Linked DNA regions of Notamacropus eugenii. The protein of the gene in region 1 interacts with the protein of each later gene in a pairwise test. Links are inferred from orthologs where the notes say so. Each region holds a gene or a part of one and is shown in the gene's direction. Other genes may lie near its edges.

Region 1 (10,040 bases):
GAAGGAGAGATTACGAAAAATGACACTATCCTTGCTCTCAAGGACCTTATAGACTAATGGTGATAGGTCTTGACCTGATGTACATTAAAAATAAAACCCCCAAACTCAGGGCAAGCTATGTATCTTCTGTGCAAGTTAGTTTTTTTGTAAAATGCATTTCAATGAAATCTAAGGGTCTTCTTCCAACTCACAATCTATGCTCTTACAATTCTCTACGTATGATACAAGGTAGATTGTGATGGGATAAAGGACAGCTGGATGAAATGCTAGAAGATATTTGAGGAAGAAAGGAGGGGAGCTGGGGAGAGAGGATCAGGAAAAGCTTCATGGAGGAGGAGGTGTGTGATCTGGGACTTGGAGGAAGGACATATTGCTTCAATGGGCAGAGATGAGGGAGGAATATTTCAAGAATGGGATGTGGGAGAGAGAGGAAAGGGACTCTGTTCCAAACTGGAAGAGACCTCATTTCCACCATCTCGTTTAGATTGTTATTGGTATCTTCTGTTTTTACATCACCCAGATTTCCCTTGCATCCCACCTTCTCCCAGAGAGCCATCCCCTATGACAAACAACTTTTTAAAAGACAAAAAAGGAAGGAAAGAAAAACAAATTCAGTAAAACTGATCAATGCATTGAAAGAAGATAAACATTATGTTCAATTGTCCACACCCACGGACCTTTCTGAAGGAGTGGAGATAGGAGTCTTCTCATATTTTTTCTCTGGGCTTGTGCTTGTTTTTTACAATTTTGCCACATTTAGTTGCTTTGTCTTGACAGTTCTTGCCATTCACAACATTGTAGTTGTCTTGTATATTGCTTTTCTGGCTGTCTTTACTTTGCATTGGTTAATGTCAGTCTAGGCTTCTTCGTATTCATCACATGCATCATTTCTTTATATGTACAATAGCATTCCATTCCGTTCATGAGCCACCATTTGGCTCAGGAATGCATGTTCTAATGATGAGCTTCTACTTTGTTTCCAGTTATTTGCTTCCGCAAAAGGTGATGTTATAAATATTTTGGTGCACCTAAGTCTTTCATGTTGTTATTGACCTCCACGTATATGCCTAGCAGTAGAATCTCTTGGTCAAAGAGTTTGGGCATTTTAGCCACTTTATTTACCTAATTCCAAATTGCTTTGCAAGTTGGTTGCCCCATTTCACAGTTCAACCAACAATGCTTTAGTGTGTCTGTGTTTCCACAATCTCTGCAATATTGACTATTCCCCTTGTTCTGTCAATTCAGTTGTGATCTCATTTGGGATTTTCTTGGCAAAGATACTGGTGCGGTTTGTCATTTCCTTCTCCAGCTCATTTTACAGATGAGGAAACTGAGGCAAACAGGGTTAAGTAACTTACCCAGGGTCACACAACTAGTAAGTGTCTGAGGCTGGATTTGAACTCAGGAAGATGAGTCTTCTTAACTCCAGGTCCAGCACTCTGTGCACTATGGCGCCACCTAGCTGCCCTATTCTCTTTTGTCAACTTCTTGGGCATAAGGTAGAGCTGTCTGAATTTCTCTTACCATTAGTGATTTGGAACATTCTTTCATATGTTAACTATCCCATTTTGAGAAGCCAAATGACTTGCCCAAGATGACACAGTGAGTTAGCAGCGGCATTAGAATTAACTCCTAGGTTTCTTGACTCCTCCTTAGATGTTCTTTCCATTATACCACGCTGCCCTGGGGATGAATTTGGCTGAAACTGGGTCATTATCAGTAGGTACTATGTGATCAGATATAGCTCAATTGTTTCTTTTAGAGATGAGTTTAGACTCAGTCATTTGGGAGTTTGCTCTGGTTGGAGGTTGAGTGGGATGCAAGGGACCGTGGGACATCAGATCTCCCTGGTTCTACTTCTGGCTTTGACTCTGACTCACTCCAGATTTTTAGGTTAAGTCCCAATAAAATCCCTGTGACTAAGCACAGAGGGTGTGAACATACTACCTGCACACTGATCATGGAACAGTGTAGGTAAAGGCTTTCTTGAGGAAGTGGCATTTAAACTGGGCCTTGAATGATGCATAGGACATCAACAATCAATCAGTCAATTAACAACAGAGTTGAAAAGAAAAGGTACATTCCAGAAATAGGGCATATTTGGGGTATGGCAAGAAACAGAATTTGTTGAGAGTATAGAATGTCTGAGGGGGAACATTGGGGCATATGGACTCAAAATAAAAATTAGATATATAATATATGTAAAAAAATATAACCATGTATTATATAAAAACATATAAATAACGTAATATACTTACATAATTATAAATATAACATAAATATAAAATTAATAATATAAATATTATGTAACATATAAATATAATGTGCAAAGTATATATTAGACACGTAAATATACATATATACATGTACATACATAAAAATACATACACATATACATAAAAATATAAAATCAGATTGAATGGCAGGCTAAGGCATTTTACTTGGCAGGCAACGAGTAGCCAATGAAATGTTCATTGAAGGCTCATGCTTTATCTTGTCTACTCTCAGGTTCTCTCCTACCCCTCCAGTGTAAGTGACTATGCCGTGCCTCCCTCAGTTACTCCAGACCTTGGGGATTTCTCTCCTCTGAGTTCCTACAGCCCTGACTGCCTGTGTCCCTCATTATTTACTGGAGCAGAGACTGCCTTGAATTATTATAACCTGTTTCAATGGAAAAGTCCTGGTCTAGCAAGGGGACACTTGGTTTCTAGGTCTACCTCTGTCACTAACTCACTCTAGGTAAGTCACTTCCCCCTCTCTGTCCATTTTCTCCTCCAAAAAACGAGGCGGTTGGACTAAGGCTTTATGACTCCACAGAGTATGTCATATTTCCTTACTAAGACTATAAGTTCTCTTCAACTTGAGTTTAGATAGGAGCAGGAATATATTTCCTCTTTCTCTTGTGTTCCCTATAAGACCCAATATAGGACTTTACACACATTTGGTACCCAATAAAGATTTACCATTACTTGACTGGGCAGTATAAAGCCAGGTTCAAGCCAAAAATCAATAACTGGCATCAGTCATATTCACCTGCTCACGGTCACATCCCCACAGTCATCACAAAGCAGAGATCAAAAATTTGGATAACTAGTCCTAACATCTTGTGTCTGCCTTGATCTTCTCACTGACACAACCAGACTCACTCAACAAACATTTATTTAGCACTTCGACTCAGAATACTGTGCCAGGAAATCGGGAGGTACAAAATTTAGATGAGATGAGACAAAGTCCTTCCTCTCACGGATTTTATCTGGGACATGATACATAGGACAGTGGGGATTGCATTGACCTGAGATAACTGAGGATAGAGGGCTTATTTATTAGATTAATTGAATGTTAGAACCAGAAGGAAATAGAAGCCCAGAGGAGGGAAGTTGCTTTGGCCAAATACATACAGAAAGTTTATAGTACAGTCAGAACCAGAAACCTGGTCTCCTGGCTCCCATCTCAGTGTCTTCTACTGCATTGCACTCTGCGTGTTCAAATAATAAAGATAGTTGTCTTAATTTTCCACTTTTGCTTATCAGAGGAGACCTCAACTAAGGGATAAGGCCAGGATTCTATGATATACAATTTAGAAATGAATCATTAATTAAACAGTAAGCATTTTTTATAATACCCACTGCTGCCAGGCACTGTGGTAACCCTGGAGATGAAATAATAAAAATGAGACAGTCCCTACCTTCTAAGACCTTTTATTCCATCAGGGAGATTATCTATCTATCTCTACACACATACACATACATATATAATATACACATGCTAAAACACATATACAATATTATACATTCCCATATATGTCTATATAAACATGTATGTATATAAGCCTATATATGCATGCACACACATATATGTGTGTGTGTATATATATATATTATACACAAGAGATGTATGTGTGTCTTTACAGCTCATAAATACAACATAATTTGTGGAGGAAGCAAAGACACTAACAGTCAAGCAGATCATGAAAGGCCTCACATAAGCTTTGAAGGAAGCTCGGTATTCTCAGAAGCAGAGGTGAGGAAATGAAGAGCCTAGAACAGCAGAGTTAAAGGGGCCTTTAGAACCTAAGCTACAGAGCATCAAAGTTGGGAAGAACCTTAAAGACCTTCTTCTAGTCCAATTTCTTCATTATGAAGGGGGTTCAACCTAGCTTATGTATGGCTTATATTTTTCTGTAATTATTTTGTGTCTAAGTTGTCAACTCCTCAACAAGAAGACAGGATGCTCATTAAGACAAGCTTCTCCTTCCCATGTCTGTCCCACAGTGTTAGGCCCCCAAGGAGGACTTTATCAAATACTTGTTGAATTAAAATTACTGATGTCCACACTCAATAGGACCTTCATGGTTCCTGAGGTATAAATTTCATCACCACAATGGTCACTTAGTTTTTGAATTGGCCAATGTCCTATGTGACAGGTAGCTCAGCTATTCATATCTAACATGGGCTTGTCCCTTCCTTACGTCAGCCAGCTAGTGATCCATCAATGGGTGTGCCCAGGTCCTTGAACTTTGACATTTCCAATGAAGTCCTATACCATGCTCTGAGTGAGTAAGACAGAAGTCAACATCATGAAGAGGAAAAGAGGGACATTTTACTGACCAAATTCCAGTTTGATCCATTCTAAATTCTGAGCTCTTGGAAAAGATGAGATCTCAAAACAAAATACAGAATACATACTGAGAGCTGGAAAGAACCTTAAAGATCTTTTATTCTATTTTATGATTTTACAGAGAAGGAAACTGATAAACAGAAGCTATGTCTTGCCCTAGACTACACAACTCAAAGCAATCCCATCTCCCCTTTGCCTATCCTGTACTCCAAGATTAGATCTAATCTCATTACACCCCTGAGAGTTAAAATTGGAACATCATTCAGAAAGTGATTTGACAACTAGCCTTTACCTGTGGCATCCAAGGGCCCCTCCCCAGAGCAAGTCATAAATCAGCTGTGGGTAGAGCCAGGCCAGCCCCTCCCAACTGAGGGCAAGCATCCAGGAGGAACTTCAGCTGGAAAAATAAAGCGTAGAGACTTCCTGAGAGGAGGACAGACCTTCCTGGGAACAGGAGAGCAGAGGAGTAGACTAGTGCCAGCCTCGAGTCTTCAGGTAAGCACCCTTAGGAAAACTCTGGTCATTTAAAGACCCACCAACAGCAAGTTGCTTAACTTTGACTGAAAGGGTGATTTGATGGCTGAAGAACCTTCCCTTTTTTTTCCTCCTCTTGGTCTCCTTTTCTTTTCTCCCTCCTCCTCTTTTTTTCCTCTTATCTGACTTCTTTCCTTTTTCTCTTCCCCTCTTTTGTCTCTCCTTCCCTTTCTCCCTTCTCCCATTCTCGTTCTTTCCTTTCTTAGTTTTCCCCTGATCTCCCTCTCCTTTCTCCCTCCCCTCTTTTTCTCCAGTTCTCCCTCTCCATCCTCCTTTTTTCTCCTCTCCCTCCTCCTCCTTCCTCTTTTCACTCAGCTTCCCCTTCTTTTCTCCTTTTTATATCTCCTGCTCTCCTTCCTCTATCTCTCCTTTTACTCATGCCCTTCCCCATTCCTCTTGCTGTCTCCCCATTTCCTTCTGCTCTCCCTCCCCCTTTTCCTATCTCCCCATTCCTCTTGCTCTCTTTCCTCCGCCCATTTCCTCTCCCTCCCCTGCCCCTTTCTTTTTGCTCTCTTTGCTGCCTCTCTCTCCCCTCCCCCTCTCTGGCATTATTTGATCAGGTCTCCTTAGGGTGCCCACAGCGCACCCCCTTCTCCCCGCGAAGGACAGAGCTGCGCTGTGGTCCTCTCTGCGAATTCTCCTCTGACCCATTGGTTCTTTTTCTTTTTTGTCTCTCCGCCTCCCACCATCCAGTACACTCAATCCTGCCTCAGTGCTCCCCTCCTGGGGGTGAGGATTCCGGAGGTAATGTAGTAAAGGGGCTCTGAATGGCAGCTAGCCAGCCTCCAGCGCCAGGATGAAATGTGAATCCTGGGGATTAAACATTAATAACGTGGTGAGAGTGGGCACTGATACCGTCTGTTTCTTCGCTGTGTTCTGCTTCCCTGGCTCCAGAACAGGGTACTTTGCCTTGAAGGCGTCGGGGCCAGGGGCCCCAGTGGAAGCAAAGGGCTGGCTGGAGCCAAGACCTCTTTCCATTAGCCCCAAATGGCCCGCGCTTCTCTGCCGGCACTCCGATGTCCTCTAATGGGTTTTCCTCTCTGCTAGAGCTGCTTGGAATCCACTGCCTCCACCCCCTCACCTCTCCAAAGGCCCAGAGCAGCCTGTTTCCTGTGGCTCCCCCTTGCCTGTGACGTTTCTCCCCGCTGTGTGAGAAGGCTCTATTTCATTTGAAAAAAAGAAAAGGATTCCCCGAAAGTCAAAGCTGGAGGCTCATGTAGCCCAGTCCCCCCCATTTTGCAGATGACAGCACTGAGGTTCAGAAAAAGGAAGGTCATCCAGAATCAGTGACATAATGAGGACCAGAAGCCAGGGTTCCTGACTCTGGCCAGGGATCTTTCCCCACCCTCATACAATCTGGAGCTATGGGCTTTTTTTTGATAATGGAATTTTTTTTGTTAACATTTTAATCAAGATGACGATAAACAAACCCTGGTGAGCTTTTTTTCCCTTTTTTTTTTTTCAAATCTCATTTCATTTTGAGAAACCAGTTGTTTCCTACCTAGGAATACCTCTGCCTCCGTCTCATTCTGTGTCTCTATTGTGCTACCCTCTACCCATATCTCTCTGTCTCTGTCTTTTTCCCATTCATGTGGTTTCAGGGATGATGATGAATACACACATGACCTTGTCACAACTTCTCCTATAACTCTCCATTTAATTAGGCTTCTTCTGACATCCCCATCCCCCTTCCATAGCCAACACCTTAGCCAGTAAAAATGACCAGAGTAGGAGATGAAGGACAGCAAGGTGGCTCTGTGGATAGAGCACTGGACCTGGAGTCAAGAAGAGCTGAATTCAATTTTGGCCTTAGACATTTACTAGCTTTGTGACGGGGGGCAACTCACTTAACTCTATTTACCTCAGTTTTCTCATCTGTAAAATGAGCTAGAGATGGAAATGGAAAACCACTTTGCCAAAAAAAACCCAAATGGGGTCACAGAGAGTCAGACATGACTGAAACAAAAACAATCTAGACTGAGTCAACAGGGAGATGAAGTTTCCGGTTAGAAGAATAACAAGGAAGCCAGTGTTGCTGGATCTCAGAGTATGTGGGAAGGTAAGGTGTAAGGTATAAGTCTTCTGGAAAGGTTGGGGGAGAGGAGACTAGTTGTGAAAGGCTTTGAACACCAAACAGAATTTTACAGTTGATCTTGGAGATGATAGGGAGCCATTGAAGGATATCGCGTAACAGGGTGACCTGGTAATCTGGTTAGACCTGCAGTTTGGGAAGATCTCTTTGACAGCTGAGTAGGGAGAGACTTGTGGAAGGGAAATCAGCCATAAGCCTTCTTCAATAATCCGGGTGTGTGGTGAGGAGGGCCAGCACCAGGCTGGGGGCAGTGTCAGAGGAAAGAAGGGGGCATTGAGAGAGAACTGTTGCCATGGCAACAGATTGGATATGGAGTTGGGGGGATAGGAAATGAGAGAGAAAGAGAGTTCAAAGAGAAGTGAATTAGAGGGCCCAATCTGCAAGTAGCTTTTATATCTGAGGGATTTGGGAATTCTAGATTCCAAGGATATTAGAATCTCTGCTATGAATTTTACTATGAGCAAGGTCCTTCCTGTTTCAGACTTTTGAATAGATGATCTGAGGGCCTTCCAGCTTCGAATTCAGGAGTACATTGTGGAGACTCTTTAAAGGAATTTTTTTTCAGTCATACCAACATTTCCTCCAAGCTCCAACCTTCCTGAATGCTCCCACCTCTCCCAGCCCCTGAATGGTATTCAAAGCAGCTACTGTGTGCTAAATTCCTTGGTTTTACTTAACCTCAAAGGACCCAGTAGCTCGGTATCTCTGGGAAATGCCTTTCATTAGCAGGTGCTTATAGAGGGTGTGGTAGAAAGAGCTCTGGACTGGCAGTCAGGAGTCACTAATTTGCTGGCTGACTTTGGGCAAAACTCTAGGCCTCAGTTTCCTCCTTGGTAAAACGGCTAGGATGAACTAGCTGCACTCTAAGGCCCCTCCCATCTCTGACAAGCTGAATCTTTATGCTATGCCTTTACTTCTGCTGAATCTACACGTAGCAGGCACTCTGTGAATGTTCTCTGTTTCTAGGACCTGGAGCTCTGAAGAAGGAATTCCTGAATTCCATTGACTGGCTGCAAGCCAAAGCTGCAAAGGGCCCTTAGAACATTAGATCTCAGAACTGAATATCCGAGGTGGAAGAGGCCTAATCACTTGAATAGTCAGAGTCTGAAGGGACCAGCTAGTCTAACTCCCTCTTCCCTGGAAGAGGAAACTCAGGTCCAGAGATGGGGAATGCTGAGTCCAAGGTTGTATAGTGAGTGGTTAGTGTATTTCCTCCACATATACACATTCTATTCAGTGAGTGCAGGAACTGGGAGCCCAGTAAGGAGGGGAGATTCCTGAGCCCACTGTGACTTCTCCTTAGGTAGTGGGAATAGGACTTCTGAGTCTTGGTGGTCTTCCTAGCTGTGGCTTCCAAAGAGGTTAGGGTTAGGCATGAAGTTACCACACTTATGAGCGTGCCATGGGGACTGGTGGGATTGGAAATTTGATTTCAGTCTCTTTAAGACTGGCTGTGTCCCTGGGTCTTGCTGAAAGATGCTAACCTTTTCTTCTCTTACTGCTGCTTTTTTAACCGACTTCCTTCACTTTGAGGGCTTGGAAGTTCTAGAGGAGAGGCCAGAGTCTGCATTCAGGTTCCCATAATAGAGGGAATTCTGAAGAGGGGAAAGTGGTAGGCTCCCCTTTCATCTTATTCAGCCATCTCAGCCTGCCTGTACCTACCTACACTGGGCTGGGCTGGGAGGTACCTGGAATAGTCAGTCTCCCTCTGGATTCTGACCATCTGATCCTGGTCCTTGCTTTCCACAGAGAAGGGGAATGTGTTTGAATCTCCTTCCTAGGATAGACTAGCCTCACCCTTCCTGACCTCATGGCCCAGTGATCTCATCTTTTAAAGCCCTCCTACACTCAGCATAGACCTAAATTCTGCCCTGGATCTGCAAAACTCCACTTTATATGGTGACCTACCTTAGAAATGAGAACTCTCTCAGCCCCCATCACTGCTATAGTGCCCATACCCCTTGCTGGCAGGTTAGCTCTGAGGCCTTATCTCTCTCTAGAAAACTTCAAAGACAAGAGAGGCATGTCTAGGCCTGGGGCAAGTACCTTGCAAGACCCCTTAATAGGGGCTTAGGAGACAAAACCAGATCCTCTCCCTACTCTGAAGGAGCTTACTTTCTACATTGTTGGGTAATATGATTTACACAGACAAGGACTGGATTGGGATTCAATCTATACAGCTAAGGACTGTGGAGGGTAAAGAGGAGATTCAGACTGCTGTAGGAAAATAGGAGGAAGAGAACAGTAAAGCCTGGGTGTGTCAAGGAAGACTTTACTGGGAAAGTGCCAACCAATCTGTCAACATCATGACATCAGGCAGCCAAAAAAAATCGAACACAGTTTTAGTTGGCAACAAAAGAGGGCCACTGTCCAAGGCTAGGGGACAGACAGTCCCACTTTACTCTGCCTTAGCCATAGGAGCTTACACTGAGAGCTGGAAAAGGTATTAGGGACTGCCTAATCTGATGTCATTTTGCAAATGGGGAAACTGAGGCACAAAGAGGTTAAATGTCTTGCTTAAGATCACACAGGTAGTAAGGGGATTCCTTCCTTCCTTCCTTCCTTCCTTCCTTCCTTCCTTCCTTCCTTCCTTCCTTCCTTCCTTCCTTCCTTCCTTCCTTTCTTCCTTCCTTCCTTCCTTTCTTTCTTCCATACATTCTCTGCTCTAGTCAAAATGGCCTGCTAGCTGTTCCCTGTATATCACCCACCTAGATTCATTCAGAGCACCACTTGAGTACCACTTCCTATATTTTCTCCATCTTTAAGTCATTGTATATTACTTTGTTTATACTTTATT
Region 2 (10,040 bases), on another chromosome or scaffold:
GGGAGAAGGAATGCAACAGAGGCGAGGCCGTTGAGTCTTGGTGGTCAAGTCCAGAGAATGGAGAGTGGCTGGTTTGGGTCCTCCCTCAAAATGGAAAGCCTGTTCTTTGTAGTTTTCCAATATTCACTTTCCCTTGTTTTGTGACTGTTATTCTTTCAATTTCCATTGTTGTAGTCATCACATATTATTTTCATGGTCTTTCTTATTTCACTTTGCATCGGTTCATAGGTCTACCCATGTTTTTTGGTATTTATTACATTCGATGTTTTTTATAGCATGGTAGAATTCTGTTACATTCATGTATAACAATTTGTATAGTTATTTCCCAATCTACTTTGTTTCCAGTTTTTTGCTACCACAAAAAGTGCTGCTATTGATATTTTGGGGGGTAAAGGATAGGCAGATATTCCCTTAAATCCCCTGATTTAATCCTCCCATACTCTTCACCTCCATCACACACCAGAATACTCATACTTGATTTAATCATCAGTCATAAATGTTCCATGACTCATAGTAAGTACTCAATAATTAATTAATATTTAATGATTAACACTATTATTAATTCTAACTATAGTTAATAATTAATTGGCATTGATTAGTGACATAATAATTGCTTGCATAACTGAATTTACTTGAGAGATGATGGACACAAGGTATGCGTTTTTGGACATGGACACTGAACAAAATTCTTTTGCTTGACTATGCTTACTTGTTACAAGGCTTCTCCTTTTTTCTCTTGGTTAATTAGGGGGCATAGGGAAAACAGGAGTTAGCAATAGTAATGTCCCCCCAAAATGAGGCCATCATATCATTTTTTAATGCAAAGAAGATAGTTCAGAAGAAAGCATACGCAAGTGAGACAATTTTGAAAATAACATGGAATTTATTACCATATATATTGTTTAAAAAACAAACCATATGAAATGGTGATTCAGCTTCATACAGAATCTGTGTGTGTGTGTGTGTGTGTGTGTGTGTGTGTGTGTGTGCGTGCGTTTATGAAAGTGCTATGTGGTGTAATGTGTATAAAAATGTTTCGGGGGGGAAAGTTTACATTAAAAATTTGAAAATAAAGTTTTTAAAAGAATTAGATTAAGTTGAATTATACCTTCTCTAAGCATAACTCTGAAATTCTTCTATGTCATTATAACTTCTTATCTGGCCATCTCTCCTTGTGCCTTATCTTTCCTGAACCCAGTCTCCATCTTCAAGACAAATTTCAGATACTCCAACCCTTCTGCTTTCCAACCTCCCTTATTCCCACCCTGTATTTCCCAGGCCATTATTTCTACTTTCGTCTTACTTTCCTCCCTTCTGAACTGAGCTGCTGAACTGAGTGGAAGTCCTATCATCCTATTGAATGGATCTACTACAAATTTAGGCCATCTAATCTCGAGTGGGCCTCCCCAGGGCACACCAATCTGTTTTCTCTTTCCTAATTGACTCTTCATCAAACTCCCCACAGTATTTCTTTCAGCCTTCATCTTTTTTCAAGCCACCTACTCCACTGCCTTCTCACTCTTTAACTACATACCTCACTTCACACTTCTACTGAAAAAACTAGGCCATGAGTCATAAAAATCCCTTTCCTTTGATTGCAATTGTGAATCACCTGGACTTCATACCCTATTGTCCCTTCCCTCCTGTCTCAGAGGAAATAGAGGCCTTAAGTCAATCCCTACTCATTTCTGCCAGTAGATTTCCCCTTCCATTATCTCTCCCATCTCCCAAAGGTTCTATTTGTCTTTACTATTGGTTTCCTTCCCTGCTGCTTATATGTAAGCCCAGATCACACTAATCCTTAAAAAAATTTAAATTAAATTTAAAAAACCACATCCTCAAGCTAACATCCTCTATCATTCCTCCTATTCACAGCCAAACTCCTAGAAACAAGCTGTCTACACTTTCTGTCTCAACTTTCTCATCTCCCAATTACTTAGAAACACTCTGTAATCTGGCTTTGAAACATACTACTCAATTAAAATTATGCTCTCCAAAGTCACCAGTGATCTCCTTATCTGAGGTTTTTGTCTCTTCTCATCCTTCTTGACTTCTCTGTCACCAAATGACATTATTTACTCCTCCTGGATTCATTTTTCTACTTGGATTCTTTTTTTTTTTTTGACAAAGGTAACTTATTTTTCTCTTACCTCTTTGGCTGCTCCTTCTCAGTATCCTTTGTAGAATCACCCTTTATGCCCCACTCTCTATGTATGGGAATACCCAAAGGCTCTCTCCTGGGCCTCCTTCTCTACCTTCTTTTTCTTTTTAATTTCATTGTCTCCCATGGGCTTGACCTACGCTTTTCTGAGAATGATGCCCAAATTTACATATCCAGTACTCATCCCTCTCTCCTGATCTCTAGTCTCCTTATCTGTAAAATTCAGAGAAGGCAGCTAGGTAACACAGTGGATAAGAATACCTTATACTGTATCTGTAGCTAAGAAGATTCGAGTTCAAATTTTACCATAGATCCTGGCTGTGTGACCCTGGAGAAGAACTTTTCTCATCTGTAAAATGGGGGTAGAAATAGCATCTCAATCTCCTAGAGTTATTGTGAGTCTCAAATAAGGGCTTTATAAACCTTAAAACATCATCATCCCATAGAGGGTTGTATATTATTACATTAGAGGCCACCTTAGATGGCTTCGAAGGTCTCTTCCAGTTCTAATCTATGACTTTATTTGAGCAAGACAGAACCGCTGCTGGGCCCAAAAGACTAGGACACTTGACCCTGGCCCTTTGTGGAAGGTGGGGCTCACCTGCTCTATGTACAGGCTCCAGTGGAGGAGTCCCACTTCTAATGAGAAAGGCTGGGACCTCCTTTCTCATACCCTTCAGCTCATTACACTGGGGGGCTCCAGGGACCACTTACGTACAACATAGGTTCGGTTCATATCTAGGGTCTCCACAAAAGGGAGGGTAAACAAAACCATCCGGCGTGCACTCTACAAGTGTTTATTTCCCACACACAGAAGGCTGCTAAACCCAGCATCCATGTGCGCCCAGTGACAGGCCTGGGAAAGGTCAGTAGGAACCCCGCTGCTCCCCGGGAGCTTACCGGGGAACACGCCTCTAAGGGAAGGAGTTTGGTGAGGAGTCGTTTTACCTTTTGCGTTGCTACAAGGAGAACTTACCATATATTTACAAGAAAAGGCAAGCGGTGCATACTGGAGACCCCCAGTGCCAGGCAGGATTTCTGCGGTGACACCTGCCCAGGACCATGGGCACGCCACCCTCTCCTTTTCGGAGGGGATGTCTCGGGACGTGTTATCGGGAAGGTCCATTTTATTTGGTGTTGGATGAGTCCATGGTTTTAAACAAGGAAAAACTGTCATTCCTGGGGGAAGGGCCAAAAGAGGGTCTTCGGCTCGCAGGGGGTCCAGGGGGTCCTTGGGTGCTGCGGGGTCCGCGTGCCAGCTCCCTTTTCCCCTCCAGCGCGGTCACTTCTCTCCTGTGGGCCAGGCAGGCCAGGCCTGGAATGCCTTCTTCCTCCCGGACCTCGGCCCGGCTTCCCCGGCCTCCTTGCCGGGGGCTCGGGGTCCCCGGTTGGGCCCGCTGACTTCGTGCATGTGCGCGGCTCTTTGCACTCTGCCAACCCCCTCGGACTGGGGCAAAGTATACCAGCCCCGCCCCAAGCGCTTGACACAAGGCCTGGCATACAACAAGCACTCAACTAGTGCCTTCATCGGGCGGGAGTCCCGAGGTTCCCGGCCCAGGCGGGGCCTCGGCTCTCAAGGTCTCGCATCCCAGACCAGCGCCCCCCGCCCCACGCCCTTGGCACCCGCTGCCCGGGCTCGGGGGCAGGGCGGCGCGCATGGGCAGGACTAGGGCCGGGTGGGGCCCTGGCCCCGCCCCCAGGAAGAGAGACCCCACCCGAGGCCCCGGAGCTCGGGCGGACACGGCCCGGTCCAGAGACAGTTTCCCCGGGTCCGGCACGCCCCCCGGAGATCGACGGGCAGTCTGTGCAATGACGAGGGGAGGGCTCGGCCCCGCGGCCAATCAGACAGCGGAGGGGGCGGAGCCACCGGGGAGGTGGGGACCAGGAAGCAGGCGCCGGGAGGTGCGGGGAGGAGAAGGGAGAACTCCGGCTCGGGTGGAGGCGACGAGGTGACGGGGTCTTCGGGGTTCCTCCTTCCCTTCCTTTCCCCGGGCGGGGGGCACGTCCGCCGGGCCTCCCTCCCAGCGGGGCAGGGCGGGCTGGGAGAGTCTCTCTCGGCGCTTGGAGATCCTTCTCCCTCCTTCCCCTCCCCGCCGAGGCTCTTGGCCGGGAGGCAGACCCCCCTCCCTCCTGGGGCCCCTCCTCTCCCCGCCCAAGGAAAGGGGAACCCCCCGCCTAGCTCCGGGGAGGGGAGAAGGGAGCCCGTCTGCCCCTAAGTGAGCGGAGAAGGGTGCCCCTGGAGTTGGGGGGGCAGGGGATCCGCCCCGGACCGCTGAAGTGGAGGAGGCTTGTGCCACCCGCCCTGCCCCCTCCGGACTGCCAGCCTTTTTTCTTCCTTGTTCCTTGTTCCCCTCCAGGTAACAGAACAGTGCAGCATGTGGAACCCCAGTGCGGGTGAGTGCTCCCTTTACACACCCCCCGCTCTTTCTATCCTTCTTTTAGAGGAGCCTCACGGGGGTGGGGAGGGGTGGTCTTCCTGTGCCCATTTTTTCCCTCCCATAGTTGCCAGTTAAGGCAAAAACTTGACCTCTCTTTTTCCTTTTGCCCCCAACACCCAAGCCTTCCCTCTTTGGAGCTCATTTCATTTTCTCTTCCTTCCCACCGGAGCTGGCTGTCCTTTTCTCTCTATATGCCCCCCTTTTTCCTAACCTCCCCACTGCCTGAAGGAAGAGGGGGCACAGGAGGTACCAGTCCCTTCTCCTCCACTTGTAAGAGGAGCTAGACCTTGCTGCCACTATCTTATTCTGTGCTTCTCTCCCCATCCAGGGCAGCCAGGGATGTACCCTCCTGGGGGTCCTATACCTCCTTCAACTTCCGGGTGCCCTGGGGTTGCCAACCCCATCAACCCACCATCAATCAATCCTGCATACCCTCCAGGTACCTGTCCTGCCCCACCTGGGTGTTTCCCAGGTAATCCAGCCTATCCTCCTGGCACTGCTTTTGGCCCTGGGCATCAGCCAGGATACCCAAGCTGCCCACCCCCAGGTCCCTACCCACCTCCAGGTCCCTACCCACCTCCTGGCCCTTGTGCGCCTTCTGTGAATCCCTTGGTCCCAGGGATAGTGGGGCCAGGTATAGTGGTGGATAAGAAGATGAGGAAGAAGATGAAGAAGGCTCATAAGAAAACGCATAAACATCACAAACATGGCAAGGTCAGTTTCTCTGGGAGCCCTGCTGGGGTTGGGATGGGGAGCATTTCATCAGAGTCTCAGGGACACAATTAGATGGCCACGCCAGTCTGGATTTGCCTTCTCTGTTGCTATCCATCCATGCTGTGGGTGTAGACTAGCTACACACACACACAGAGCATGCTGGCCTTACAAGCCAGAAATAGAAACTGGGTTAAATTCTGCCTCATAATACTTCCCTAACTCTCAGTCCCTTCATCCCTTTAAACCTCCATTTCTTGAGGAAAATAAAGTGGTTGGTATAGATATTCACTGAAATCCCTTCTTTTCAGCTCTAAACTTAAGTTTATGGATCTTTGGCAGATATCTCAGAATTTCTGGGGTTTAATTGCTTCCAGTTGAACAGGATTAGTGATCCATACCCTCCCAGAATGCTGAGGCATAGCTATAGATATATACATACATATGAAAGGACTTGGGAATCTTGGATGGGGTTATGACCACCAAGCCAGTGGGTTAATTAATTTTGTCCTTTGACTCTGTAACTGAACACCTGGAGCTAGGCTCCTATCTCCTCTTGTGTAATCTAAAGAAAGCTAACTAGAATTGGAGCTTAGAGAAACCAGAATTTGAATCTTGGCCTTGGTCCCTTACTGGCTGTGTGGCTGTGGGCAAGTTCTTTAACTTCTCTGAGCCTTTGTTTCCTCATCTGTAAAATGGGGTTAAAAATAGCTACTCCACTTCCCCCATGGTGTTGTGAAACTCAAATGAGATAAAGAATGGGAAGTACTTTATGTACCTTAAAACCTTATTGACACATCATGATAACGATAATGGGCCTTGGAAATTGAGACTTCAAAGAATTGAATGACTATTCTGACATCAGGGAGCCAGGCCAGAGTAGTCTGGGAATCCAGGATTTCTGATCTCTAACCTTGGGGGCACTGATCATTCAAGTACAGTGTTCCTTAGAATGGAACTGAGCAGGTCATATGACTATACAAAGAGCCTAAGTCAACCTGGGACAAGGAAAGAGAAAGGGTAGAAGGTGATGGTTATGGGGCATGTCTAAATTCACTTCATTCCAGTGATAGCTGGGATGCTGCAAAAAAGGGAGAGGTAGAAACTATTGGAGGACAACTCAGGAGCAGCAGTTGGAAAATAAATGTTTACCATTGCTGATAAAGTTGCTGTGCATGCAGGCAAACCAGATTAGATAGTAATTCACAATTTTATAGTACCATAAAGCTTGCAAAGCACTTAATGAGTCTTATTTTTATCCCTCAGTACTTTTGCCTAGGTCTAAGTTACTTAAGAGTAGGGGTCATTTTCATTTATGTGGATTGTCTGTACTGAAGGTGCTGGGGGCTATTCATTGCTTCAGTTATTAACATTTATTTGCCAATTCCTATGCCTTCCTCAAAGAGGTTTTCCCATTCATGAAACCCTTTGACTGAGACACCTTGTTTCAAGCAAAATTATTGAAAAGTCCCTGCAACAACGTGGGTTGGTTTAAACTACTGTTGTGGCATTAATTCCAGGGGGAGAAACTTATTTTCAGTCTGTCGGTGACATTCCATGTGTGGGTTATTGGTCTTAAGTGCACCTTGTATGGGAGGGTACATATTAGAGAGATGGGGAATGGGGTGGGACTTCATGGGGTCAGAGTTCAAAGTCTGATAATGTGTCCTCTCCACTTTCCCATTCCCCTGCAGCATTCTTCTTCCTCCTCCTCCTCTTCCAGCAGTGACTCTGACTGAATCCTGGCCCTCTTCCCCCCAAGTCACACCACCCCAGCTTCTCCCATCAAGCCTTGGACGCCATATTGTGCTGGGGGAAGATAGCCTTGCAGCCCCAACCTCAGTCCAACCTCATTCACCCCTTTGCCCAAATTGGCTGGTGAAATTGAGGAAAGGATCACTATTGGCCTGAGGAAATCCATTTTCTTAACTTCTAGATTTAATCATTGTGGGGCATTCCTTTCTGAAGATGTATGCCCTTTGAGCCAAATGCTGAAGAACATTTTAGGATTTGAAAAAAATGTGATTTTTAAAAATTTATCTTGTAATTTGTGTGGGAGGAGAAGAAAGGGTACGTGGCATTACCATGGTAGTTGGTCTGGGTATGGTAGTCTTACGATGATGGAATGTGGGAACTACATTTCCCAGCAGACTGTGCAGTCTACTAAGCCCACTGCCTTCTGGGAAAGAGAGTTCTTTTGAATAGGATAATGTGGGTGCCATTTTGGAACCTCATTTCTTGGTGAGCTCCTTCCATCCCAATCATTCTCAGATCTTACTCTGTTTCTCTCACTGTGCTTCCCAATAAAGCTGTTTATCCCAGTCTCCATTCATCTGTGCCAGTAACTTGGGCTGTTTTCAGTAAGTTCTATTGCTTTTACTGCCCCTTTCTTAAACAAGTAAGAACCCAGCCTACAAACCAGAGCATGAGTGAGGAGGGTACCTTATTTTCACCATGTTTGTTTCTTGAATGGAAAGTCATGCAGTACCTTCCCCCTCCAGGACTGATGCAAGGCTAAGTTGAGCCCTCTTTGCTGATGAAGCTGTTTTTGAGGAATAAGGAGAAGTATTGTAGAATGGAAACCCAGGGGTGCAGTTGGATATGGTAATGGGCTCTTTTGTTCCAAAAGAGGAAATCTGATCTGCCCTTTGTTGAAGACACCCAGCCCTGCTTTAGTTGATGCCAGACCCTTTAAACTGACTTTTCTTTAATGTGTGAAAAACTATCAATTGGTACTGTTCTCTCTGTAGAGAAATAGGCCTGAGTACGTCTAGACAACTGGTGTGTTTCTAGTAAGTTGTGTCCTAGGTGTCTGAGGGTGTAGAGCCAAAGGGAGGAGTAACTAGTTACAGTCCTTGGATGGCCTCCTAAGCTAATGAGAAGGTCAGAATACAGACCCAGACACTGCAACAGACAAAAAAAGGACAGACCTAAGAGAACTACTGGACAACTTAATATATCATGTGATAGAGAAGGCTTTAGGAGGATGGAATGTCTATTTTGAAAGGCTTCCAGGTGGAGAGAAGTCCTGGATTAAACATGCAAAGTGGAAGGATGAAAGGTGGCATCCCAGGTGAGAACACCTCAACATAAAGGCTCATGTTTCAGAGAGGATGCAATGTTTGTAGCAGAAAGGGCAGGTTTGCCTCGCTGAGATAGAGAAACAGGGTGTGTGTGGCCGGGGCGGGGGGGGGGGGGGGGGGGGGAGGGGGGGGAAGGAGGATTGGAAGTAGGGGAAGGGAGCACTGTAGGTTACTGAACAAGGGAGTAAGCCACCTAGAGGACTTCTAAGTCTGTGATCTTATGACTTCAGCTGATGTCACCATGAAGCCTTTGACTTACCAGAGGTGGGGGGCAGTACAGAAGGAGAAGCAGTAAAGTGATCTCTCCCATCTTAAATTACCTATACCTCCTTCACTTTCTCTCCACTGTAGCATAGGCTTATATATTTTGTGGTTTTTCCTTCTTATTATAGTGTAAGCTCCTCACGGAGCTTGTCTTACATTTCCTCTAGCCTAATATCTCTCATATATTAAGTGCTGAATAACTGTTTATTGAAAGTTTGGATTAATTCAGTGAAGTTCAACCAACATTGATTATCAACAATAATTAGAGTGGGTCCCAAACCAAATAGTCCCCATGGCTATATTCTGTTGTGGGGAACAGTTGAATGGATGGGAGCAACGGTATCAGAATGAGGCCCTTCTGGGAGAGAGAACTAGTTATATGGTGATATCTTAGCAACAAGACGAGAACCTTGTTATTTTTGAGCCCACAGAACAGAGGTTAGATCAGTGGAATGTAGCGTGAGAATTGGGGTCTGCTGGATCACAGAGAACTGGGCTTAGACAAGATGCATCCTGGCGGATCATCGTAGATATTCCTTTATTCCAAGGCCAATTGTGACACAGTTGGAATCCTATGTTCTGTAGCTTCCTTTTGGCTTTATTTTGATTTCCAAGGCCTGAGCCCTCTTTTTAGGTGTTGTGGCTGGATTTATTTTTTGCTTTTCTAATAGTTTTCCTTTCTCACATATACTATGATCTCATTTCCTCCTCTGCAGACCTCTTCCTTTCCAGAGAAGGAAAAGAGACAAGATGGACACAGTAACAGAGGGACATGGAAAATACAGAGAGAAATGCCCAGATTGAGAGGAACAGAGCCAGAGGGAGAAGTTAAGCAGTGTGTCATGTGAGAAAGTGGTATAGGGAGAGAAACGAGAGAATGGTAGGGGAGAAGGACATAAAAGAAGTCTAAAAGAAACATGAGATCCAGAGATGCTGCCCTCCCCCCACTACCTTTCCCTGCCTCGTCTCTCCATGTTCCCTAAGATGATTTTCCCCTACTAGGGACAGCACTGCAGTATTTCCAACTATAAACAGAGGGCCTTGGTTCTCCTTCAGTGGTCCTCCAATGCTTTAATTATGCTACCAACCTACTCTCCCTCAGGCTTCTGATTTCTCTGACTTTGGTCCCTCCCTACCAAAGAAAGTGTTTTGTTTTCAGATTTCTACTCTGTTGGAAAATGGTAAGTTTAGGAAGGTTTTTTGTGAGACTTGAAGAGTAAACTGACAGTTTAGCTTTGGGTCAGTGGGGAACATGTCCCTTTTCAGTTTGCTTTGCTCCTGGCAAGAGAGCCTTGGGTAAATCACTCATTTGTTCAGTTTAGCCCCACTTCTCCGTAAACATTTGTGGGAAATCTGTCATTCCATCCCTGTCCTAGGAGCTGT

The links. The genes of interacting proteins can lie anywhere in the genome.
Region 2: the proteins of SDCBP2 (region 1) and PRR13 interact in binary tests that used the Homo sapiens proteins (3 or more experiments, as listed by UniProt). The two-hybrid records come from large-scale screens. The link is inferred for Notamacropus eugenii from reciprocal best matches to the Homo sapiens genes SDCBP2 and PRR13.

What each region holds. Positions count from the first base shown.
Region 1 is NC_092872.1:432,992,936-433,002,975, reverse strand, and holds the start of SDCBP2 (syntenin-2), read left to right. Parts: upstream 1-5,025; 5' UTR 5,026-5,112; intron 5,113-10,040.
Region 2 is NC_092874.1:226,459,023-226,469,062, forward strand, and holds PRR13 (proline-rich protein 13), read left to right. Parts: upstream 1-3,998; 5' UTR 3,999-4,110; intron 4,111-4,518; 5' UTR 4,519-4,536; coding exon 4,537-4,555; intron 4,556-4,927; coding exon 4,928-5,313; intron 5,314-7,004; coding exon 7,005-7,049; 3' UTR 7,050-7,638; downstream 7,639-10,040. UniProt on the Homo sapiens protein: Negatively regulates TSP1 expression at the level of transcription. This down-regulation was shown to reduce taxane-induced apoptosis.